3 linked regions of the Danio rerio genome follow. The protein of the gene in region 1 interacts with the protein of each later gene in a biochemical or structural test. Links are inferred from orthologs where the notes say so. Each region holds a gene or a part of one and is shown on either strand. Other genes may lie near its edges.

Evidence for each region.
Region 2: of the proteins of chuk (region 1) and cops5, one has a biochemical effect on the other in vitro, tested with the Homo sapiens proteins (2 studies listed by BioGRID). The link is inferred for Danio rerio from reciprocal best matches to the Homo sapiens genes CHUK and COPS5.
Region 3: the proteins of chuk (region 1) and bcl10 form a complex in vitro, tested with the Homo sapiens proteins (2 studies listed by BioGRID, with this or other methods). The link is inferred for Danio rerio from reciprocal best matches to the Homo sapiens genes CHUK and BCL10.

Annotation. Positions count from the first base shown.
Region 1 is NC_133188.1:28,590,429-28,598,718, reverse strand, and holds the end of chuk (inhibitor of nuclear factor kappa-B kinase subunit alpha), read right to left. Parts: coding exon 8,207-8,290; intron 8,128-8,206; coding exon 8,078-8,127; intron 7,915-8,077; coding exon 7,806-7,914; intron 7,722-7,805; coding exon 7,574-7,721; intron 5,488-7,573; coding exon 5,360-5,487; intron 2,398-5,359; coding exon 2,298-2,397; intron 2,208-2,297; coding exon 2,148-2,207; 3' UTR 1,260-2,147; downstream 1-1,259.
Region 2 is NC_133199.1:27,633,255-27,642,286, reverse strand, and holds the start of cops5 (COP9 signalosome complex subunit 5), read right to left. Parts: upstream 4,805-9,032; 5' UTR 4,625-4,804; coding exon 4,488-4,624; intron 4,387-4,487; coding exon 4,152-4,386; intron 2,629-4,151; coding exon 2,500-2,628; intron 2,103-2,499; coding exon 2,037-2,102; intron 1,955-2,036; coding exon 1,869-1,954; intron 1,754-1,868; coding exon 1,642-1,753; intron 1-1,641. Other genes in the region: pign (GPI ethanolamine phosphate transferase 1), read left to right, coding at 6,094-6,320, 8,429-8,550, 8,625-8,723, 8,805-8,911. UniProt on the Homo sapiens protein: Probable protease subunit of the COP9 signalosome complex (CSN), a complex involved in various cellular and developmental processes.
Region 3 is NC_133177.1:2,088,781-2,097,672, forward strand, and holds the start of bcl10 (B-cell lymphoma/leukemia 10), read left to right. Parts: upstream 1-3,984; 5' UTR 3,985-4,163; coding exon 4,164-4,214; intron 4,215-6,741; exon of another isoform or gene 6,742-6,853; coding exon of another isoform or gene 6,854-6,877; intron 6,878-7,003; coding exon 7,004-7,292; intron 7,293-8,892. Other genes in the region: exosc4 (exosome complex component RRP41), read left to right, coding at 1,406-1,765. UniProt on the Homo sapiens protein: Plays a key role in both adaptive and innate immune signaling by bridging CARD domain-containing proteins to immune activation.

The sequences.
Region 1 (8,290 bases):
TATTGTAATCACAACACAATTATTCTTAGTCGCGGAACCCGCAGTAAACTCAGGACAGACACACACACACACTAAAATGCATTCATAATCTAAATTAAGAAATTTCTTACCTTTCCCAAGACATTTCTGAGATGCAGCCATTATTTTATTCAGAGAAACCAAAAGAACTGCAATGGTTGAGAAGCTAAAGTTAAATACTGCAGGTACACTTGATTAATTTGACTGCATTTCTTAATTATTTAAATATCTTAGCATTTCATGTAACAATGGTTTTGCAGCATTTTTTAATAATTATGTAACAATAATTCTGTCATTTAAAATATCATACATTAACTTCAACTTTAAGCAGTAGTTAACTGAACACTTACCTGTCTAAATCAATGACTGTGCCACAAATTTCGAAGATGAAAGGGAAGTTGGTGTATTTATTGGTGATTTATAGCCATAGAGGGCATGTCTTATGATCTAATGACGAAACATCAGACGCTTCTTTATTTCAAAATAAAAGTCGTCTATGAAAAGATGAGCGCAGTCTGGAAAATGATTTTTAATCAACCGAACATCCTTAATTTCTTATAATGAAAAAATAATGATAATAATAATAATATGATCACGAATCGGGCGACAAGGCGGCTCAGTGGTTAGCAAGCAGGTCGCTGGTGCGATCCCAGCTGGGTCAGTTAACACCTCTGTGTGGAGTTTGCATGTTCTCCACGTGGGTTTTTCTCCAGATGCTCCGGTTTCTTCCACAGTCCAAAGACATGCGGTAAAGGTGAATTGAATAAACTAAATTGGCCATTGTGTGTAGTGTGTAATAGATTGTGTATGGATGTTTCGCAGTGCTGGGTTGCAGAATTTAATGAATGAATTATGAATCTGTTCTGAAACGTTATATTTAAAATGAAAACCGCATTTGACAGTGCAAAGTGCATTCAAATTCAGTAATTGTAAAATATATGCATATTGACGTGTTTTGTTTTTTGCAGGATTTATACAGTATACATCATAAGACAAATCATTCTATTTAAACACTCCTCATGGAAACACTGACATCTGTCTCAGCAAATGAATAATATAGTGTGTGATATAGGTAATCTATTTATCCCCAAGTATTAATATGTCTTATTAAAAGATATGGATCTTTATATAGACTATTTATGAAATACAACAAGTTTTTTTCAATTTTTGCAATGAATTACTGGAAAAGCATTCCATCCGACTGCTGCAATCAGAAGAAAACCTCTTCACAAGAGACAAAGTAATGGATATCAGTTTATTTGTCATGTACAGTAAACACGATAAAACCAAAGTGTTTTTAATAAGATGCTTTTAACCCATGTCTGAAATATCATCCAATAATAATCCAACAAAAACAAAATAATGATATTATGCAAAACATTGTACAACAGTTTTTGTTTGTGTGACACTAATCATCCTCGGGAAAAAAAAAACATGTCTGAAAATGTGATTTAAATAGGGAGTAAGATGGACGAAATTAATTTATTATAATTTGCCCACTGATGAATATCCACATTCAATAACCACCATAATAACCTGATAATAAGATGTCTGCTGTCGTCAATACTAAACTGATCTGAACACGTCTGATAAAACATTCTCCTAAAACTCATTCTCATAGTTGAAGAGTTAATGAATTAATCAACTTAATGATTATTCTGCTTTTCATTTAGACCAATTTAATCCTTTTTTAAAACTTAGGCCTTTAGTAACATTTCAAAATGGCAGTTGAACATGACCAATTTCACTGTTAGTCCTGACACCTTTCCGAACATTCACAGTGAGCCTTTAAAGTGCAGATGCTGAACCACCATATTAAAAAAAACAACAACCCATCACTTAAAATCAAAGTACAATCAGCCCATACAGAGAACGATGGAGTACGTAAATAAATACATTTCTGGAATTACACTGCCTGAATTTAGCTTACATGTTTTTTTTTTTAAGTCAATTAAAAATGCATCCCCCAAAATATATAAGGTTGCTACAAGACTGTACAATCTCATTTGAACTGAATGCAGACACCGACAAAGTTACTTAATGTTGAACGAATCATATGAGTTAACACAACCCCAATCCAGCGGTGATGAATAAATGCATTTAAAAGAGTTACTTCCTGTCACGTGACTCTACAAACGCGGTGATTTAGCAACCAGGGATTCGTATTTTGTCCAGCTCCAGTCCTGAGCCTGTATGAAGGAGAGAAAATATGTGATGTCATGAATTTCTATGCATTTCACAATACACAAGAAGTCTGCTTTTAAATAAAAGCCCCTTACCATTATGCTCTCCGATTTCTCCTCGGTGGTTTCTTGCAGTAAACTGGTGAGCTGAGTCAAGTAACGCTGATTCTCCTCCAGTAAATGATTAACTGAATCACTGGAAATAAACATTCAGCATCAAACATATTGATAAACACAGCCATGGTGCTTTAAAACCAAGGAAGTCATGCTAAAATTACAATAGTAGAGCTAAACAATATTTCATTTCATCAACATCTTAAGGCTCTATTTTGACGGTCCATGCGCAGAGCGCAAAACGCAGGGCGCAAACGCTTTCAGGGAGTGTCAGAACGCGTTTTTGCTAATTTAAGGACGAGAAAATCCACTTTGCGCAGTGGCGCATGGTCTAAAAGGGTTGAGTTTATTTTCTTAATGAGTTATAGGTGTGTTTTGAGAATAAACCAATTAGAGTCTCATCTCCCATTACCTTTAAGAGTCAGCTGCGTCGCGCCAAGAGCGCATTCGCTATTTACAGGACGCAAAGTAAGTTTAAGTGGAAAAAAATGAGCATTTCACAAGCAAACACTTAACAGTTGACAGTTTTTTAACAGAAAACTGTTAAACAGAGCATCTACTGCGTGAGAATGAGAGATAATGGATCTACTTTCACATTCTCTCTTGGATAGGGAAACCTTTACGCACAGACATCAATTAGTCTATAAATAATTAATTTTGTTTGTTAAGCGCAAATATTCGTTTCAAAACTATTTCTAAATTCAGTTCTAATTTCCAGCAAACGAATAAATGAACAATAATAACAAAATGTGCTCAAAAACCTGAGTTATATCCTAAAACACATGCTGTGCCTCATATGGTCTTAAACCTGACAGGTGGGCAAATCTAAGCTTGTTTTTAATAAAACAAATATAAATATGGATATATTAAATAATACTGCTAATAATAATACCATTATACAAAAGCAAATTGTTATGAATGAACTGAAAAAGCCTCCCGAGATGAAGAAGACATAAAAGCAGTGGTTTTTCATATGTATGTAGGCTAGAAAATAATATGTTTCGTAATATTTTAATCCTTTATATTTATATCTATTCTTATTATATCCTATATATATCCTTAATATTTAAATTTTTTCATATGTAAAGATATTTGCCTATTGCTCTCTTGTGCGTATTAAGCCGTGTGTAAGCGAGGCACAACTCTGCGCCGGAGTTTAGACCGAATTAGTTTTGGTCTAATGAAAAATCTATTATAGTTTCTTAAAATAGCAACGCGCCAGCAGTGCGCCTTCCTTTTTAGACCAGAACGCTTATGGGCGCACAAATGAGCGCTAATGCATTTGCTATTTAAACAGCGTAGCGCAACGCCTCAAAACGACTCTTGCGCCAAGCTGAAACTACCAAAAGACTACTGCACCCCGCCTTGCGCCACATTGCGCCGGGTGTATGCTTAATGTGCGTAACTACAATAATCACATCGCAATGTTGAAATCATATGCTGGGATTTTAGTTGACTAAGAGCCACAGTTTAAAACCTGTGGGCTTTCACTGCAGAGTTCAACTAATGGAGTGAAGGTTTATCCTTTGCATGTGTTTTTTTAAGGCTGTGACTGTGTAAGCATTCAGGCCCAAGAGAGTTTAAAGCAGGAGTCTCAAACTTTACCATTTAAGTACAAGAATAAAGTGGAAACCTGATGTGATTGATGCATCTTAGGACAACAGTTAGACATTTATAATTCAAGCATTACCCGTCACCGGTGATGATGCCTTCACATATTGCAATGTATATTTTTCTGTATGTATATTTCGTGTTGTGGCCGACGTGTGTTCAGGGATGGAGCATGCATAGAGGCGACCTAGGCGGCCGCCTTGGGCAGCAGAATAGTGAGCGAACCCCCCAGTCCTCACTTTAATCTGCTACACCCACCCCCTCCCTCACGGTCCTTGTGTACATCTGCGAAACGGCCACTTTCTTTTTCACTTTCGGGTTGAGGGTGGCGTGATTGCCGCTTGCCTTGAGCGCAAGCTCAACTTGCTCTGGCCCTGCGTGTGTTTATCATGCAAAGAAATTTGGATAAGACCAAGTTTCAGTTAAAACAATTAATGTCGCATCACCAGGCTATCCAGCATTTCCTCCAGAGTTTCATGCAATTTCGGGTGTTTCATTTTTAATCTTTAGACTTTAACTGCAGTTCAGCAGTTCACTTTCATTCAGCATATTTTCATTCAGGATGTTTAAATGGAATTTGATACTGCATGGCGAACGAAAAGAAAAGCCTCTGCATTCCGTGACTTGCATGATCCTTTAAGGCAGGGGTGGCCAACCCTGTTCCTGGAGAGCCACCTTCCTGCAGATTTCAGTTGCTACCCATATCAAACACACCTGAACCAATTAATTTGGACCTGAATACCATGTGATAATTACAGGCAGGTGTGTTTGACATGGGTTGCAATCTCCAGGAACAGGGTTGGCCACCCCTGCTTTAAGGTAATCAAAAATCGCTGCTTACATGGTAGACTCTTAATCAGTATTATCTTAAAAAGCGGAGTATTGGGGTCCATGTAAATGTATATCAAGTGAAAGTGGCAGATAAAGTCGCAAACTGTCAAAGACAGCCCTATTCTCTGGCTTCAAGCTGTTTCCATGAGCCCTCACATTTCATAAGTGTGACGTGTTCCCCTCTACACGCAACTTTTGTAAAGCGTCTTCATGTTGCTGTGTCAGAATCCTTGCATGTAAAAGACAGCCATACTTTAGAATGCTTAGTTAAAGCAAATGTGATGAACGCGATTGTGCGTGTTGATGAATCTGAAGGGATTCCTCGCTCACCGTGTGCGCTGCTCTGTGCGTGTGTGTATGTAGTCCACTTAAAATCCAACAAGGAAATCATTTTTGTTTGTTATTTGCAGTGATTGTTTTGAAATTCATAAGGCACTAACATGCCTGTGTTTTTATTTCTGTAATAAATATGGCGTTTCGTGATTAATCATGATTAATTACAAAAAAAGCGTGATTAATTACGTCATTGTTTTAACAATTTGATCATTCTATATTATAATATATATAATTCATAAAAAAGAAGGTCTGGAAGAAAAACATACCCCTCGTGTGGCACTTGCAAGGACATGGGGAGACGGGAGGAACACTGGGCTTGAGTCTGGTTCCACGTAGACAGCGAGGAGGGCATTTCTCCGCTCTGACTCACTGAGCTCCGTGTGGTGTTTTGTGCCTGAATACAAACCAGTTACATTTGTTGATTATGTAAAGAACATAAACATGTATAGCTGTGGATATAGTGGTTATTTGACAACTGCTTTGTATTTAAATTGTTCTTCCTATTAGAATTTAAAAGTCAACATATGGTATTTTATAAAAGTAGTTTGAGTTGTTTACATTTTTAATGGTAATAAATAAATACATGTAAAGCTACTGTTTGCATACAGTGATACAAGAATTTAGCACAGCATAAGCGTAATGCATGTAATCTATGCACAGTTCACATGCACTTTTAATTGTTTTTGCAGTACTTAGTTTGTCCACTAGGTGTCAACATTGAACTGGATTGTTGTTTTGTAGTCTGAAAAGAAACTGAGACAGAAAAACAAACAAAAGATGACCTAAAAGATAGTTTAAAAGAATACTTGCATCTCTTCTTTAAATTTGTATAAAATGGTCAATCACATTGTGTGGAAAAATGGAGTATTCATTAACAGGCTGTGAGGGTATACTATCTCAGTAGTAGAGTTTGTTACAACTCATCTTCCATCAATGAAAAGTTTGGGTTTAGAAAGATTTGCAGAAATGGCTGAAAGAAGTCTCCTATACTCTAGTGTTATTTTAAAATATGCTCAATTTCTTTACTGGTAAAGCTGAATTTTCAGCATCAGTACTCAAATCTTCAGTGTTACACAATGGTTAGAGTTAGAAAAAGGCTTAGGTTTAGCTGCATGCGATTATGTCAAAAACTATGGTAATTACAACTTTAAGTATGTGTAACGGGTAACAATTCTAATATACTCATTTGAAGCTTTATTGATCAATGTTGAAAATGGTTGTGCTGCATAATATTTATGGAAACCATGTATATTTTTAGGATTCTCTAATGAGGTTTAAAACAACAGAATTTTATTATCTATACAGGGCAGCCACAGCTTGTGTGTTTAATAGTTCAAAATAGCTTAATATTCCACTCTGTGGATATTCTGCTCATGTAGTCATACTTATTTTCTATACACATTAAATTCTATTAAAAAAAACCCAGAAACTTAACGCATTACTTCAGGATAAAACTATCCACTTGTTTAGTGTGGTTTGACATCATGAGAAGCAGCTTCTGGATTCAATCGCCATATCACACTGTATAGGGAGGCTCATCAATAATAAACGTTTACAAAGTAATACATTACTTGCGAAAATCATGATTGCAATATATATATCCATGCCTAATATCCGATGGCCAGAAAGTGATTAGTTTTGTGTACTCTTGAGTACACCATGATTTTATATAAAATTCCCTTTAATGTGATATGACTAAAAAGTGATCATAAATGAATACTTTCTCAATTCAAATGAGTAGCAGAGTCGTCCACACAAATGTACCCATTTCATACTCTCCTTTCAGAAAATATTAAACATTTGCCCAGCCTTTCTGGGTACATGCTATCTGCACTGCAAGTCAATTACAAGCACATGTTGACAATTTTACAATCAAAGATGTCACTTCACTATGCCTGTTTAGTCTGGTTGTTCTGCTTGTCAAAGAAATTGGCGCGCTGTGACGAGGTGCAAAATTTTGGCATTATGATTGGCCAGATCACCTGTCAATCAAACTGCCTGCAAAGGGTCAATTGCATAACCGTTACAGACCAATGTTATCTAAAAAGTGTTAATATTAATATCTTTATCTTTCACCCTACTGTTCTTTATAGCTTGGTGCCATATTGCCGCTTACTAATAAGTAGGTTACTGTGGGCTATATTCAGCCGTTTTTATGTCAGCTGGGTCTACTTGTTTAGTTTTGAGGAAAGAAGCTGTGTAATGAACAGAATAATGTATATCTAGCCGGTTCATTTTGCAGAATATGCCTCAGGTTTTATTTAGTGAGAACAATGACCAAGACATACAATATTCCTTACTAAAAATCACACCTAACTTTTAAATGGTGTAGTTTTTTGTTTTACTCATTTTGTAATATAAGATTTCGGTCTGACCACTAATGTGCATATAACCCTACCCCTGGAAAGTCCGGGATCATGTGGCTCATGTGCAAATTAAAAGCATATCTGTCCTTCAGACATTAAAAGCATGTGACTCACACAGGCAATCTTCAGTAAGTGCCAGAACTCTCTCTGTCTCTTGATCTGCATCTGCATGACTGTGGTGTCTGCCTCCTTTATGCATTCCAGCGTTCTCTCGATTTTAGGGAAGAGGTCGATGATCTTCTGCTTACTCAGAAGGATTTTACTGCAAAGGCCAAATTTGAAAAGTAAAATACCTTAACTGTATAATCCATTTGAACATAAATGAGTGGCATTAAAAGTTTTTTACCTGAGGTGTGCATATAGATCTCTTAGCACCCGGTCTTGATTCTGGACAGTCTGTACTATGACCTTCACCATCTCAGAGCTGTCGCTGTAGCCATGCTGAGGGTCTGGCACTAGAGGAAATGAAGAACATACATTATACACTGACCCTCTTGACTTACTAATGCAACCAATGATGATGCATTACTTTCTTTCGAGTATTTGACTACTTGGAAAAGGACACAGAGGGATTGTCATTGACTTGAAAAGTAAATATGCAAACAGAATTGTACTCACTTTTGCATTTTGCCTTCAACTGTTTGTAGAGTTCAATGGCTTTCTCTTGCCTGTGATGAAAACAAGATTTTATGTCAAAATAAATGCTGATAAACTTCACAAAGCTTATTTCTGAACAAAGGTTCTCACAACTGCTCCATGACATCTCCTTGACGACGAGCATAAGGACTTCTCTGTAACTCAACGATTTCCGAATGCAACGCCATTATTTCC
Region 2 (9,032 bases), on another chromosome or scaffold:
AAAACAGATATATTTATTAAAAGAATATTTTAGTCACCAAACATGTTTACAAATTGTAAGATAATACAATTAAATTTAAGCAAATTAATGCAAAAAATATTTATATTTATTACCTACAAAATTTCAACAAAAATTTTCAGTTTTTTTTTGTTTCACTTAATTTTTTTTTCTGTTTTAAAATTTGTATTTAATATTTTTTATAACATATGAATTTGACTGTACTAGTTTTTGGACCGTTATCGTAAGTTATTTTGTTAGACAAGCTCCAGATTTGACTTCAGTACAGACTAGTCTAATGTTTATGCACACATATATTATTGTAAAGCTTCCTATTAAAAATTTAAAAGACAGATTTGTGAAGGGTGTACATATATATGCTGAGCACTGTATGTTACTATCGCAATATACATTGCAGACAAACTAAATATTGCAATATGAGTTTTAGTCCAACATCATGCAGCCTTAATAATAGAACTATAAAATGAGAAAAAAATTATATTTATGCTGTTTTTACTTTGCTTTATTTTGGCAAAAATTTGAGGGTTAATTTCTCATTGGAAATGCTTTTTTGGGGACAACAGATTTTGAAATCATTCTTTTCTCTTCTTTGTAAAAACTTTATTTTGCAGAGATTATTGTACTAATGTTTTGCTTCTTGTACTAATGTTTTGCTTCTTACACTGTCTTTACACACCTGAAACTTGCCTACAGCACTTATTCATTGTTGCTCTTATAGTTGTGTAAATTGCTTCCTTGTCCTCATTTGTAAGTCGCTTTGGATGAAAGTGTCTGCTAAATGACTAAATGTAACTGACAGTTTAATTGCAAAAACAGTTTACATACAACATTCGTTACAGATTTTATTTGACTCCTTTATGGGAAAAACAGCAATTGTGATTTTTAAAGATAATACAGATCCCCTTCACTCAGCTTTTGAAATGTTACCATCGGGACCAAGCTTAAAATGCATGGAACATGAAGAAATACTTATAAGAAGTCATTTATCCCTATTGCAGTTGTATTAAACCTTACCACTGTTTAATGTGAACGGTGCGGTTGTTAAGAATAATCTGGAGTAATATGTATGGGGCTAATATGGTTGTCTTGAAGAGTGTTGCTATTATGTTATTGTTGTACGGTTTATTTATGTTACCAGTGTAAAAGACAAATTTCCTTTCTGTGCCAAGCAGAAAAGATAATAATGTTTAAACTAAAATTAACATAATGTAGCTTTCAGAACTGAAGCCCTTTAATTTAAACAATTTACAGGGAAAAGGTTGAAAGTGATTTTCTATGCTCCTCAATTTTTCATTGTATTTGCAATCTCTTATATAATAGAAATGAATACATGCATGCCTGCTTCATAAAAGCTATATTGTCACCCTTCATCACATTTACTGTAGATGTTTTTAGAAACTGGTCAGAAATTCAGATTTTGGATTTTTTGTATTTATATTTTTGTAACAATTTACAGTGGTTCAGGCCATTTTTTGATTTAAGAACAAATTCCAAGCAAAAAAAAAAAAAGGCTAGACTTAAATTTATGCCGTTTATATTAAGTAATCCAACATGACAGATGATGTTGGCACATATCTAAATGTAATATATATTAATTTTACACCAATAAAAGTGTGTGCTTACTGTCAGTAGGCTTGAGGAGCTCAAAGTGTTGACCCAATACTTATTCCACAGCAGCTCTAGGAGTTTGCGGTCCAGGGAAGACTTAAAATAAGACACTTCTAATGCATAATACCTAAAAACAAACAACAGCTTATCGTTAACTGCAAGTCAATATATTTTCAAAATATAACAAGTGCATAAAAAGGCTAAAAAAAAGGAAATATATTCAATATGTCATGCACACTTACTGTTTGCAATGCACTCCAAAATCCTCAATTTTGTTAAGAGGTATCGTCTGGTATTCAGAAGGACCCTCATCTGGAGGCTTGTAACCCTATTTTTAAACATTTGAATGTGATTCAACATCTTATAAAACGCATATAAATTAGATACAGTTGCCTAAAAATAGTTGCTACCTTCGGATATGTCCTGAAAGCTCCAAGATTGACCTTCCCTGCGGATATAGTCCTTGTGGGATCGATCTGAGGATGAAAAATTACAAGGACTGAAATTAGCAAAAGAGTTCAGTCAAATATAACAAATAAAAACAGTAAGCTGCCAGTTTTGCGAGTGAAAGTTATGAACGCCAGCTTGCTATTTGCCCTCGGCACTACATAAGCAATGAAGGATAAACTGTATAATGTATTCTGTTACAAAGGCAACAGTCATTAATCAGACAGCAGTACAAATGTCATCAACTCATTTGTGTCTTGAGGGTCAATTATGGATCACTGATAAAGCTGAATTTAAACCGATACTTTTAACTATTTCATAGCGGAGCTGTTTTCCCCTTGTGTCTTTTGAGATGGATGGTAACCCGCTTTAAAGAGGGAAATCAGCAAAATATGCAACAAGTTTAACATTTCCAACAGCGCTTACCACTACTGCGACAAAGGGCTCTTGAAACTGCTGGTTAAGCATCTGAGTGCTGACATCTATGCCTGAAAGCCAGCAGCCGTATCCTGGATGACTGTGGTACCATCCAATGGCATTCTCCAACCGCCCCACCTAAATAAATATATAGACAATTAACCTCAGAATTATTGAACTTCCATATCAATTCTTTCATATGCTGGTTATTGCGAATTGATGCATAATGTGTTTATACATTTATAAAGTGCATTTTTGAGTTCCTGTCGCTTGTCAAATTTTATTTTTTATTTTATTTTTAAAATCATATTTAATGGCAAATATATCTCAATTAATATTAGACCTTTCAATCTGAATAATAATAATATTAATGATAATTATAATAATAAAAAATCTTTAAAATATTGTTAGAGTAAAAAATTAATTTGCTTGTTCATTTCTGTTCCTGTATTGCATCTGTTAAGTATTTAAATTTTTTGTAGTATTTATTAATTACTTTGATGTGATAAACACATCTGTGTCCTTACTGCATGCAGTCCCTCAATAGTAAAGTATGAAAACTGAATAAAAAAAAAAAAAAAATTATATTTATATAATAGGGCTGCATAATATACTGTTTTAAAATTGATACCGCAATGTGCGCATCTGCAATAGTCACATCGCAGGATCTGCAATGTCGAACCGTTATTATAATTGACCAGGAACCACATTTGAAAACACTCATGATGTGTGCAGTCATTGCAACGTTCAACCATAAAGTTACCAAAACCTTCACTATTTCTGTGCGTTTTCACCATTTACTCTAGCAAAAGAAATTACATTTCTAACTTTATGGTTAGAATGGTTTCACACTGGATTATTAAATTTGTAAATCTGAATATTGCTAGACTTCTAGAAAATCATAAAGCACTGTATATTTTATTTGCCTTTTATTTTCTATTTGTTCTCTACTGTATTGGTTTATTATATTTTATGTGGACCCACTCCCTTACATTAGAATGTCAACGTATCGAAAACTATACATTCTTTCCAAATAGACCTTTTTAATTTAATAGCATTCAATTTCTTTTTGTTTCAAGTCCTGTGACAAGAATTCTGTTCCGTCTCTCAATTAATATTAGAAAGTAAAGACTAAATAAATAATAATTATAAAAGATCTAGGATGATTTTTAGAGGAGTATAGGAATACAATTCATGTTTATTTTAGTTCTGGTAACTGTTCACTTTTTATTTTAGATTTTTTTTTAAATCACATTCGAGTTTATTAGATTTAAATGGTTCTGTGATGCGATACATATTTAGATGTCCAACTACTTCATATATTCTCTCTATTAATCCTAAACATGAAAACAGAATACAAACCAATAACTTTCTTTACTCTTTAAATTGTAATTTTTATATACACGTTTTAAAAAGGTAACCACAACATGTAGCTTCTCACATAACATTGGATCAATCCTAAAAACGTAATGCAGAATAATTATAAATAACAATTAATAAAATATTTGTGATGATATTGCTCTTGATTAGAAAATCTTAAAGATCAGCATACATGCTCCACATATAAAGCAGTGGATATGATCATGTTTATAAACAAACTGTGCTTATATTTATCACTATTCATCTAATATGAATTTTAGAGTAATTATAAGTCAGTGTACCTGTTTAGCATTCTCTATATAAGCAGCCATGTATTCATAGGCTGCAGCCTGAGCGTTGACTCTGGTTTCAGTGCCTTCCACTGGTAAAGCAAAACTGTCCATGATGATCATGGTCTCTCCATCCACCTTCCCCAGCATAAGTCCCATCACCTCCAGGTTTCCTCCAGATCTAGCGTGCATCACCATCTTCAGCAGTGCCAACGCCGATAGCTTGCAGTATTTAAAATAATGATGACTGTAAACAATTAAAACAGTGTAGGTTACACAACAGTGGTATTAATAATTCGAAAACAAGCCGGGCCTCTAGGAGACATCATTTTGGTTTTGTTTACTTACTCTTTAGTCCACGGTTTGGCCGCCAGAATTTCTTGTTGTTGTTTTTTGTCATATTTATATATTTCGTCGATACTCTGAACTTCCTGCATGCTGTTTGACAGCTCCCATGTTTTCATCGCTATGCTACTGCCAGCCATAGCTAATACTACAGTCGGCTTATATCTTCTGTTCGACTATAACGAAGTATGATTAATAACACTCGCAATTAATAAAATATGAAGAGCTAGATAATGTTAAAATTGTGTAGTTTATCTAACTATTTAAATAGATCATTTAGCAATAATTAACAAAGCTCTTGCAGTACTCCTTTTCTGAACAACTCTACAACCTGAGTGAAGCGAAGCGAGCGACCGTACGGGTTACTAAGGAATAAAATTGATGCCAAAATAAGAGTCCTGAACGCAAACCGACCGCTACTGTTTTACAGTCTATGGCACCGCCACTGTTTCTTGATATATTCGTTTTTGTTTAGTTGTTTATCTAAGATATGGTTCGATCTATGTCATTTCTGTTTAATGACCCACTTCGTAATGTGACAAAATAGTGTTAAAAATTGATCTACCTAATTATTTGCAAATAATAGAGGTCATATTTGGTCTATTTCTATTTGTATTATATTATAGAATTATGATATTGTATTTCTGAATATATTAATTATTAACACATTTACTTTCTTAAAAAATAATTATCCTCTTTAATTAAACTTGTATTTATTTGTCTTTATTTGTCAATTGTTTTAATATTTTTAAAAATTGCATGTTGGATAATTTATAATATGTTATGTACTCATATTTGTGTCAGTTATTTCATTATTTTTTACAATTATTAAATTGTTTATTTTTTATTTTATATCTCAATATAATGTTTGATTGTTTATTTTAAACTAATTTATTGTTTAAAGCATTTAAAATTTACGTTTCTTTTTATATATTTTATTCTAAATTTTTATTTTTTTATTTTTTTTGTGCAATTTTTTATTGTAAAAAGGGAGAAATTTCAGTTGAATCAAATAAAGTTGTAAACAGTCATAAACTCGCTGGCATTTTAAAGCACCTCTTTTGTTTTTATGAAAATATTAACGTGGCGTTAAAAACTACATTTCCCAAAATGCACTGCGCAGACACAGTTCAAAGGTTACTGCTACAAGGAAGTGCAGAAAAGTTCTCAGTTAATCTTCTTACAAACTATTTGGTTTAGCAGGTCAGAACTCAAAGATACAAAAGCACCTTAAAACAGATTAAAAGCCCATGCGCGGGTTTTGCTTCAGGGCGTTTCGTTCCCGCGCACTCCTGCTCTGCCCGGTGCTTTCATTGACAGATTAACGTTACATGATACCTTTATATGTCTTCTGTCCACCTTCAACTAATCAGCTTTATGAATCTGTTTCAATCTCAAATTAGCAGAAAGGTAAGTACAATCTTAAATAAACCCCTAACGTTACTTTTAAAAAAATGTTGTACAATATAACTTATTTGAACCTACTGTCCTGCTAATGTAAAACTAATTCATAATAAAAATCTATTAGACTAATAACAGAATGTTTTCATAAATTCATTTGTGTATCTTCTTTTTGTAAATCAGTGTCAAAGGTCTGACTGGAGACAAGATGAAGATGGTGACATTCTTCGTTGTGGGACTCATTGTGCATGTAGTCTTCTTTCTCTGCATATTTGACATTTATTTCACATCTCCTCTTGTCCATGGAATGACTCCTCAGCGGGTCTCTCTGCCCCCTCCGGCCAAGCGCCTGGTGCTGTTTGTGGCAGATGGTTTGAGGGCCGACAGCCTCTTTAAGCCAGACGACAGTGGGACATCCAGGGCTCCTTACCTAAGGTGACGAACACTGGATAATCTTTGTCCTGTTTACCCATGTGCTCCAGAGAGTTCAGAATTGTTTATGTTAGTCATTAATGTCTAAATAATATCTATTAGTCATGCTTAATGTTAAAAATATTCACCATCCTTCATGATTTCATAAAAAAAAAAAAAATTCACCTAAGCATTGCATTTAATATTCCATTCATTCATTCATTCATTCATTCATTCATTCATTCATTCATTCATTCATTCATTCATTCATTCATTCATTCAGAGTTATATGTATCTAAGTGTTAAATCTATTTAATAGCATAGTAGAAGTTACATTTTTACAAAAACACATCCTCATACAGTATATTGTGTAAAAACAAACAAAATAGATATGTATTTTATAGGTAAAACTACTTAATTTAGTTTACACTAAATAAAATGCATATAGTACAACTTAATTTACTAATTACATTTTATGCATGTATTTATTTATTCATTATTCTGTTGGATAAAGTTTTTCTGATCACACTTTACAATAATGTTTCATTAGTTAAATGTTTATGTATTTACTAACATGAACTAATAATAATGAACAATACTTGTACAGCATTTATTAATCATAGTTCAGCATTTACTAATGCGTTATTAAAATCCTAATTCATGCTTGTTAACATTGTTTAATACAGTGAGTTAATGTGAACTAAGATTACATAACTTTATTGCCATTAATTAGAGTTAACAAAGCTGCATTTAATACTGTATGTGTTGTTATTATTTGTTCATGTTAGTAAATGCATGAACTAATGTACCTTATTGTAAAGTATTACTATTAATTTTACCATATTTCTTTTTACTTTAACGTCATCTTAAGGACCACTAATGAGCTCCCCTTCCCACCAGTTTATGCCTGTCATACATTAGGGCCTCTATTTTAACAATTTAGGGGCAAAGTCTAAAGCGCATGGCACAAAAGCATTAAGGGCGTGACTGAATCCACTTTTGCTATTTTAAGGACAGATCAGTACAGTTTGGTCTAACAGGGTTGTGCTTATTCTCTTAATGAGTTCTGGGTGTGTTTTGAGCATAACGTGCATTTAAACAATCTCTGTTTGAAAGTCTGATCTCCCATTTCCTTTAAGAGTCAGTTGCGTCATGCCAGGGTGCGTTTTACATCATTTACATGATGAACTTTGTAAGTGGAAAAACTGAATGCTTTACTAGCGAGAAAACAGTTAAACAGACCATCTGTTCAAGGATAAAGAATGAGCCACCTCCATTCGACCTCTTTACTTTCTCTTTATTTTACTTTACTCTTAACCTTACTCATTTACTTTCGTGGACAAGGAAACGGTGTTGCACAAACTACATATTTAATTTCGTTTGTTAAGCACAGAGATTTGTTTCAGAACTATTTCTAAATTCAGTTCTAATTTCCCGCAAAGGAATAAATTAACAATAATAACAAAGTGTAGTCAAAAATCTGAGCTATATCCAAACACACATACTATTCTTATGCCCCATATGGTGTTGCATACGTCTCCATAACCTGACAGGTGGACAAATCTAAACCTTTGTTAAAACAAATATAAATTTGTGTATAATAAATATTAGTATTAATAATTTAACATCATACAAATGCAAATTATACAAAAAGCCCCCCAAGGTGAAGAGGGCATGGAGGTAGTGGTTGTTATATTTATAAAGAAAATATTAATTTTTGTAATATTTTAATCCTTAAATTTTTTCATATTTGTGTATTGCTGCACATCCTGTGTGTATTAAGTAATGTGTACGTGTTTTTGGAATGGCATATGCGCTGGACTTGGTTAGTGGCGCAGAATATTTCAGTTCCTCAAAATAGCAGCGCTCCAACAAAGCTCCTTAATGCACCCCCCTTATAGAGCTGAACACTCATGAGTCCACAAAGTGGCAAAAATGGATTTGCTATTTAAACAACATGGCCCAAAAACATGAAAATTAGGTTTGCACTGGTCTGAAAATTGGAACAAACCACGGCAAACACATCTTGCGCCTAATTGCGCCGGGTGTATAATAAGGCCCTTGGTGTATACAGGTATATTGTTTTATTTATTTGTGCTTTTTTTTTCCTTCATGCTGTTTCCTGTCATAAGGAGTGTGATTGAAGAGGGCGGCACATGGGGAGTTTCACACACACGGGTCCCTACTGAATCACGCCCAGGACATGTCGCTCTAATAGCAGGCTTTTATGAGGACGTTAGTGCTGTTGCCAAGGGTAAGCAGTCATATCTGTGTTTGTATCTAGCTTTCTATGTGTGTAAAATCAATCATGTGCGCCTGTGTTTCCAGGCTGGAAGGAGAATCCAGTGGAGTTTGATTCTGTCTTTAATGAGAGCAGATATACCTGGTGTTGGGGAAGCCCTGATATATTGCCAATGTTTGCTAAAGGTATAACCACACACCTACGAGTTGGTCTGGGGAAGCATGTTGTTTTTATCTGGTGGTCTTATCAGCATGTGTGTTTTGTAGGTGCCACTGGAGACCATGTCTACACTCACACTTACCCTCCAGAGCGAGAGGACTTCGCCTCCACTGATGCTTCCAGACTCGACACATGGGTGTTTGATGAAGTGAAGGTAGGACGCTCTTGTGCAATCACTTCATATTCATTTATTATGTGTAGCTTTTCAATGCATATTGTCATTGATATGTAAAAAAATGCTAGAAATTACAATATTTGTATGTAAGTTTAAAAGA
Region 3 (8,892 bases), on another chromosome or scaffold:
TTCATCCATCCACCCACCTAACTCTATTCATGCACCCAACTATCCAACTATCCACCAACCCAAATTCATTTGTGCACCCACCCAACTATCCATCCATGCACCCACCCAACTATCCATCCATCTATCCACCCAACTATCCATTCAACTACCCATCCATCCATCCATCCATCTCTGCATCCATCCACCCAACTATCCATCCATACACCCACCCAACTATCCATTCACCCATCCAACTCCATTCATGCACCCACCCAACTATACATCCAACCACCCAACTATACATCCAACCACCCACTCAACTCCATCCATGGACCCACCCAACTATCCATCATACATGCATCCTGCATTCATCCACCTAACTACCCATCCATCCACACACCCAATTATTCATCCATCCACCCACCTAACTCTATTCATGCACCCACCCAACTATCCAACTATCCACCAACCCAAATCCATTTGTGCACCCACCCAACTATCCATACATCCAACTATCCATCCATCCATCTGACTATTCATCCATCCGACTATTCATCCATTTATCCACCCGACTATTCATCCATCCATCCACCCAACTATCCATCCCAACAACCAACTAACTCCATCCATGCACCCACCCAACTATCCATCCATCTATCCACCCAACTACCCATTCGTCTATCCATTCAACTACCCATTCATCCATCCATCTCTGCATCCATCCACCGAACTATCCATCCACACACCTACTCCCTATCCATTCACCCATCCAACTCCATTCATGCACCCACCCAACTATACATCCAACCACCCAACTATACATTCATCCATCCATCCACCCAACTATCAATCCAACCACCCACTCAACTCTACCATGGACCCACCCAACTATCCAACATACATGCATCCATCTATCTTTGCATTCATCCACCCAACTACCCATCCGTCCAACCATCCATCCACGCACCCAACTATCCATCTATCTACCCAACGCTATTCATGCACCCACCCAACTATCAATCCATTCATGCAACTATCCATCCATCCACGCACCCACCCAACTATCTATCCATCTACCCAACGCTATTCCTGCACCCACCCAACTATCCATTCATAAATGCAACTATCCATCCATCCACCCACCGACTCCATCCAAGGATCCACCCAACTATCCATTCGTCCTCCACCCAATTACCCAGCCATCCACCCACAATCCATCAATCCATCCATCCATGCATGCATATTGGCTTTAAATTATTGTGATAATTTTTTCTGTTGAACGTAAGAGCCAGATCAAACTATAACTCATATTATTACAGTTGCAGTACATGACAAGATTCCAAAGACACTTTAAATACTATTACAATTCACATTACATGTAACTGACTACAACAGCACCATGTCTTTGATTTGTCCTGCGCTGTAGATCCTGCAGGCGGACGGTGGAAACTACAGCGCGTGTGTCAATGCTGCTACATTGGCTCTAGTGGACGCTGGGATCCCCATGCGCGATTATGTGTGTGCGTGCAGCGCTGGGTTTGTGGAGGACACCCCGCTGGCAGATCTGTGTCATGCAGAGGAGAGCGGTGGAGGAACAGCGCTGGCTCTGGCTTTGCTGCCTCGTAGTGGAAATATTGCCCTGTTGCAAATGGACGCCCGGCTCCATCAGGACCACCTGGACACACTGATGGAGGCGGCCATGACGGCGTGCAAAGAGTTCAGTAAAGTTCTAGACAGTGTCGTACGGCAGCATCTAGAGGAGGTTTCAGATCTGACCAGAGATTGAGATGGAGATTTAATGGACATCTATGGAGTCAGATCAGTGTCAAAAATAATACATTTACAAAATATAATTTGCTTAAATATGATTCAGAAATACACAAATCCAATTCATTTGGTGAAAATATTATATATGATATTCACTGGTGAATTCATGAACTGTGTGTTGCGTTTATGAATAGTGTTTTGATTTTATGAATTGGATTATGTAATTGTGAATTGTGATGTATGAACTTTTAGTAAATTAATTATTTTTGAGACTGATCTGACTCCATAGGAAATGCTCTATTAATTTGTTATTCATTTAATCTTTGAAGCATGCGCTTGGACTGAAAAAAAAAAACAGATTTGATCGACATGTATGGAGTTAGATCAGTCTCAGAAATAACACATTTACAAAATATAATTCACAAGTTTAAATATAATTAAAAAATACACAAATCCAGTTCATTTGGCGAAAATATTTATGATTTTTACTTGTGAATCTATAAACTGTGTGTTGTATTTATGAATTGTGTTTTGAATTTACGAACTTAATTTTATAAATGTGAATTGCGCTATGCATGTATGAATATCATTTCATAAATGTATTATTTTTGAGACTGATCTGACTCCATAGGAAATGCTTTAGTCATTTATTCTTCATTTTAGTGTCTGAAGCATGCGCTTGGACTGAAAAACACACAGAATTGATAGACACAGAAAAAAATAAGTTTATATATCAGCTTATCCAGAAGAAATGCCACCTAAAAAGCGCTGAACACATTTTGTTATAATAATGTCCTCTGTTGTGAGAGAGTTGTAATAAAACAATGGTATGTTTTTAACAAATGAACACTTTTCCTTTTGTGTTTTATCAAATTAACCATTATTTAATCAGATTTAGTACTCCTAATAAACAGTGGGGATCGAAAGTTTGGGCGCCCCAGGTAAAAATTTGAATTAATGTGCATAAAGAAGCCACGACAAGATGGAAAAATCTCCAAAAGGCTTTAAATTACAGATTAGACATTTTTTTAATGTGTCAAAAAAGTTAAACTTTATTTCCATCATTTACACTTTCAAAATAACAGAAAATAAAAAAAAAAACATTCTGGGAACGTTCTCTGTAGGTTTTTTTTTTTTTTTTGGTAACCAAAATATAACCTTCCCAGAACGTTCTCTGCAGGCTATTTTCAATGGTTAATTTATTACCTACAGAGAACCTTCCCAGAACATTCCCTCTAGGTTTTATTTAGGTTTTTTTCATAACCTTGAGAGAACCTTCCCAGAACGTTCATTGTAGGTTAATTTTGGGATCTATTTTATAACCAAAAGAGAACCTTCTCAGAACGTTTTTTTGTTGATTATAATATCTTGAACTGCCGCCTTTGGCAAGTATCACAGCTTGTAAATGCTTTTTGTACAATTTTAAGTTTACAGTTTACATTTCAGATATAACTTTGTTTCAAATGTTACACTCTAAAAAAACGTTGAGTTATTTATTTAACCCAATAATTAAGTTAAACATATTTGGTGCTTTGTTGGGTTATTTTAACCTTTATTATGTTATTTATTAGTAACTCAACCAGTTGGGTTAAATAGTATGTGCTTTGTTGGGTTATTTTTAACCTTTATTATGTTATTTAATAGTAACTCAACCAGTTGGGTTAAATAGTATGTACTTTGTTGGGTTATTTATATCATAACTCAACCAGTTGGGTTAGAATTTTTAATTTCAACAGTCAACTGATTTAACTGACACAGAACAGCTGTATTAATATGTGCGCTTAATGTTGTTTTTGCATTCTAAAGTTTATTTAAGCTCTTAACGCAATAATATTGTTGTCTTTAGCACCCAGCGGAGACATTTATTTATTTACACTATCATAATTATAAAATTAATAGTAGTAATAGTAATAGAGTAATACCAGAATGAAAAAAAAACATGTATTTAAAATAACCCAATGCATTGAGTTAAAATACCCCATAGTTGGGTTTAATGTTGGGGTATTTTTAACCCAACTATTTTATCAGAGTATGAAAAATGCACAAATACAATCCCAATACAGTAAAAAGAATTAAATTGGAAAACACATGTAGGGGTATATACATCATCACAAATTAAAGGAAAATATTACATAATTTACAAATTTTACAAGTTCTCCCCTGTAAAATGATGACGTGATGCTGGGTTATGGCGTCATTCACAGAAAGTATGTAGGCTATCAATAAGGAAGTTAAAGCGCCGGTAGTTCCCCTTTACTATATGAGAACTACGAGTGGATCCAACGTGTGCTAACAAGTTCGTGTCTGGACATTTTGGCTGATTTCTGGTCGCCGATGTGGAATTTGAAGCACCGTTTTCTTACCGGAACGAGTTAAAAACTGAACAGTAGTGAAAAACAACAAAACGAAAAGAGAGGATGGATGTTACTCACCTGACGGAGGACGAAATGGCCGATATAAAGAAGGAAGTGAGTAAAACGAAACAAAACGCGTTAATGAAATCGAGAATCTATTAATCAGATAATGCCTTCGTAAAAGTAGAAGTGAAAGCGCTGAGGGGCACTGACCACAAACCTGATCGATGCAACCAAACGTTTATCAGGTGTAAAAACCTGAAAGCAAATGATTTCCAAATGAGTTCGTCAAGTTTTTATACTCCGACTTCACTTTATTAGAGTGTGAACTGCTTTATGAAGTACCTAAGACGAGCATATTAATCATATTGGTCTACGAGATTAAATAAACCCACATTAAAACATACTACAGTGGACTAACTTAATTCTGGCAAATATTAGTGTTTATGAACAATGCTAAAGTAGGCTAACGTTACTTGAATTAATCTGTTGTGGTAATTTTGTTGTTGTTATGGTAATACAACAGTATAAACATGTCACAATACTGTAATACATACAACTATACAGTTTACACATAATAGTAGCTTACAATACTAATGTAACACTAATAACACACTGCTAACGTATACTACAGTATTTATAACAGCTTATGAGTTCAATATTGATAAGTAAAATTCATTTATAAAGAGTTCACTAAAGAGTTTAATACACTTAACTATAGTATAGTTCAAAAACATTACTTTTCCAGCATATGTTTTACGCAGCGGATGCCCTTCCAGTACTGGGAAGTATATATATATATATATATATATATATATATATATATATATATATATATATATATATATATATATATTTTTTTTTTTTTTTTCCTTCAGCTTAGTCTCTATTTCAGAGGTCGCCACACAGGTTTCACGCAGCGGATGTCCTTCCAGTATTGGGAAACTTGTAATATATATATATATATATATATATATATATATATATATATATATATATATATATATATATATATATATATATATATATATATATATATATACACAGTTGAAGTCAGAATTATTAGCCCCCTTAATTATTAGCGCCCCTGTTTATTTTTTTTCCCAATTTCTGTTTAATGAAGGGAAGATTGTTTCATCACATTTCTAAACATAATAGTTTTAAAAACTTATTTCTAATAACGAATTTATTTTCTCTTTGATGACAGTAAATAATATTTTAATTAATATTTTAATATTTCAAGACACTTCTATACAGCTTAAAGTGAAATTTAAAGGCTTAATTGGGTTGATGTGGTGAATTTTAAGGTAAAGGTAATTTTGTCCCAAAATGTTTTTTAAAAAATTAATAACTGTTTTTAATCTTGCCAAAATAAAATAAATAAGACTTTCTCTAGAAGAAAAAATATTATCAGACATACTGTGAAAATTTCCTTGCTCTGTTAAACATCATTTGGGAAATATTTAAAAAAATAAAATAAAATCAAAAGGTGGCTAATAATTCTGACTTATATATGTGTGTGTGTATTCTTTTTAAATACTATATATAACTATTGCACTTCAATACACTACAGTTTACAAATTTATACATACACTGCTAACGTATACTACTGTATTTATTACAGATTATAAGTTTAATGTTGATAAGCAGCATTCATTACAAAGAGTTTGCTATACCGTTTAATATACGGTTCAAAAACACTATTTACTAAATATATTTATTTATATAAATTTAATTAATTCATTTTCCTTCGGCTTAGTCTCTATTTCAGAGGTCACCACAGTGGAATGAACCGCCAACTATACTATGGATACCCTTCCAGCCCCAACCCAGTACTGGGAAACTATTTATATACATTTATTTTATATTATATTATATATATATATCTGCCACTATATATATATATATATATATATATATATATATATATGTATGTATATATATGTATGTATATATATATATATATATATATATATATATATATATATATATATATATATATATATATATATATATATATACATACATATATATATACATATATATATATATATATATATATAGTTCAATACACTTAACTATAGTATGGTTCAAAAACACTATTTGCTATATATATATTTATATTATTTTACTATATGTATTATAGTAAAATATATTATATTAAACATAAAAAAGAATTATCTTTTATTAACTTAGCAGATATTTATTTAGTAGGCAGACGCTTTTAATAAACACTACAATTCAACAGAGAGTAGCAGTATATAAATGATATGTAAAGCACAAGCCTACAAGTCAAATTTATTCATTCATTCATTCATTCATTCATTCATTCATTTATTTATTTATTTATTTATTTATTTATTTATTTATCTTTGTTGAATAAGAGAAATCACACTAATCTCTGATCAAATCCTTGACACATGCCCAATAATTTTTGCCTGTCTTAAATGTTCCCTGCTTCAAAAATACTGATATATAATAGCCTCCCTGCAAAGCTCCCTGAAAAACTATGAGCTATTGGGCTTAGTGTTTTAAATGCAAAGTGTGGTCATTTCACATGTTTAATTGATTTAGTAATATAGGTTCATTGATAAATAAAATGTATTTATCAATTATTTTTAAAAGCATCTTCACTTTACAGCATTTTTACACAAGTGCCTAAAACTTTGAACAGCTTTGCTGGTAGGTTTTTGGAAGCATCTTCAAGATGAGCCAGAGTTCTTCTTAACCGAGTTGTCCATCAGACAGACTGGATGATGATCAGATCATCTCTGAAAGTAAACTCACTGTTGAAGTACAATTAATGATCAAAATAATGTCTAACTATTTCAATCTGCCACTAGCCTAAGACTTTTGCACAGTATTGTCAGTGTGTAATCATTAGTTCTTGTCTGTCATCGTAGGCCATAGAAAGGTTGCGACCGTACCTGGTGGATAAGATCATCGCCGACCGTCACTTTGATTATCTGCGCTCGAAGAAGATCCTGACCAGGGAAGACACGGAGGAGATCAGCTGCAGGACCACCAGAGGGAAACGCACCAGCAAACTGCTGGACATCCTGGCAGAAAACCCTCGCGGCCTGGACATGCTCATCGAGTCCATCAAATGGGGCCGAACGCTCAACTTTATCATCGCCAGGATCACAGACGAGGTGCAGCGGGTCAAAAACGAGCGCCTGGAGGCTTTAAAAGGTAACTCTTTACAGGGTTAAAAAGCTTTTCTTATTCCGCTGACACCTGCTTGCAGCTTGTGTTGACAAGTCCACTAGAGGGCGCCATCTACATTTTTGCAAATCTCAAATATGTGACTGAGCTATTTTTTCTCATACATGTCATTTATGTGAGAAGCTGATCAGCTTGTTGGGCATAATATATTACTGACCCATACACCTCCTCCCTAAACTCAACGATAGTGTTTTTAGATGCAAACGAGTAGAGAAAAGAGCATTGCTGGAACATTCTTTTACCATGGTTTTACATTGCTTATTTGTTTTTACCTGGTTTCTAAAACAGTCCAAAGTCTGCCTACACGCCCCAAGTATGACACTGTACGAGGTAAGCTACAGAGCAAACTGACCACTCTGGAAAAGCCGTCTATATTGAGATATTTTTGTGGCATTTATCTATTAACAACCATGCGAAATCGATGCTATCGTTGATAATGTGTCCCTGTAAATCTTTATGCTGTAAATCTTTAAAAGGAACAAAAGTCGGCAGCATCACACCACCATGTAGTGTTCATTTTACCTAGAAAATGCTGGCAAGCACATGCAAAGGCACTTTTTGTGGTTTCCCAAAATATAGCCCTAGCCACATATTCACAATAAACACATATTGGGTGATATGTTTAGGATAAAGTACACCCAGGAGGTTGTTATCACAGAATACATCCCAAGAGGCTTTATTGACAGTCTGACGTGAAGCCGAGCACTGCTGTATAACACTAAAGGGTTTATTCTGCGAAAACAACCATCCTGGATTTACTTTATCCTGCTTATTACATTGCTACTTGCCCCAAAATAGACACATAACATTGTTCTGAGCTGTAATATTTTATTAATTCGTTAATTAAACGCAAAGCGGACAAAAATGAAAACAGCAGATGGAGTATACACTAACCTGCGCATTATTCAGACACTAGATGGCGGCAAACAGTCAAAAACACAAAGCTGACAGAAACTAAAACAGCTGATGGAGTATACACTAACCTGCGCATTATTTAGACACTAGATGGCGCCAAACAGTCAAAAACACAAAGCTGACAGAAACTAAAACAGCTGATGGAGTATACACTAACCTGCGCATTATTCAGACACTAGATGGCGGCAAACAGTCAAAAACACAAAGCTGACAGAAACTAAAACAGCTGATGGAGTATACACTAACCTGCGCATTATTTAGACACTAGATGAAGACAAACAGTCAAAAACACAAAGCTGACACAAACTAAAACAGCTGATGGAGTATACACTAACCTGCGCATTATTTAGACACTAGATGAAGACAAACAGTCAAAAACACAAAGCTGACACAAACTAAAACAGCTGATGGAGTATACACTAACCTGCGCATTATTTAGACACTAGATGGCGCCAAACAGTCAAAAACACAAAGCTGACAGAAACTAAAACAGCTGATGGAGTATACACTAACCTGCGCATTATTCAGACACTAGATGGCGGCAAACAGTCAAAAACACAAAGCTGACAGAAACTAAAACAGCTGATGGAGTATACACTAACCTGCGCATTATTTAGACACTAGATGAAGACAAACAGTCAAAAACACAAAG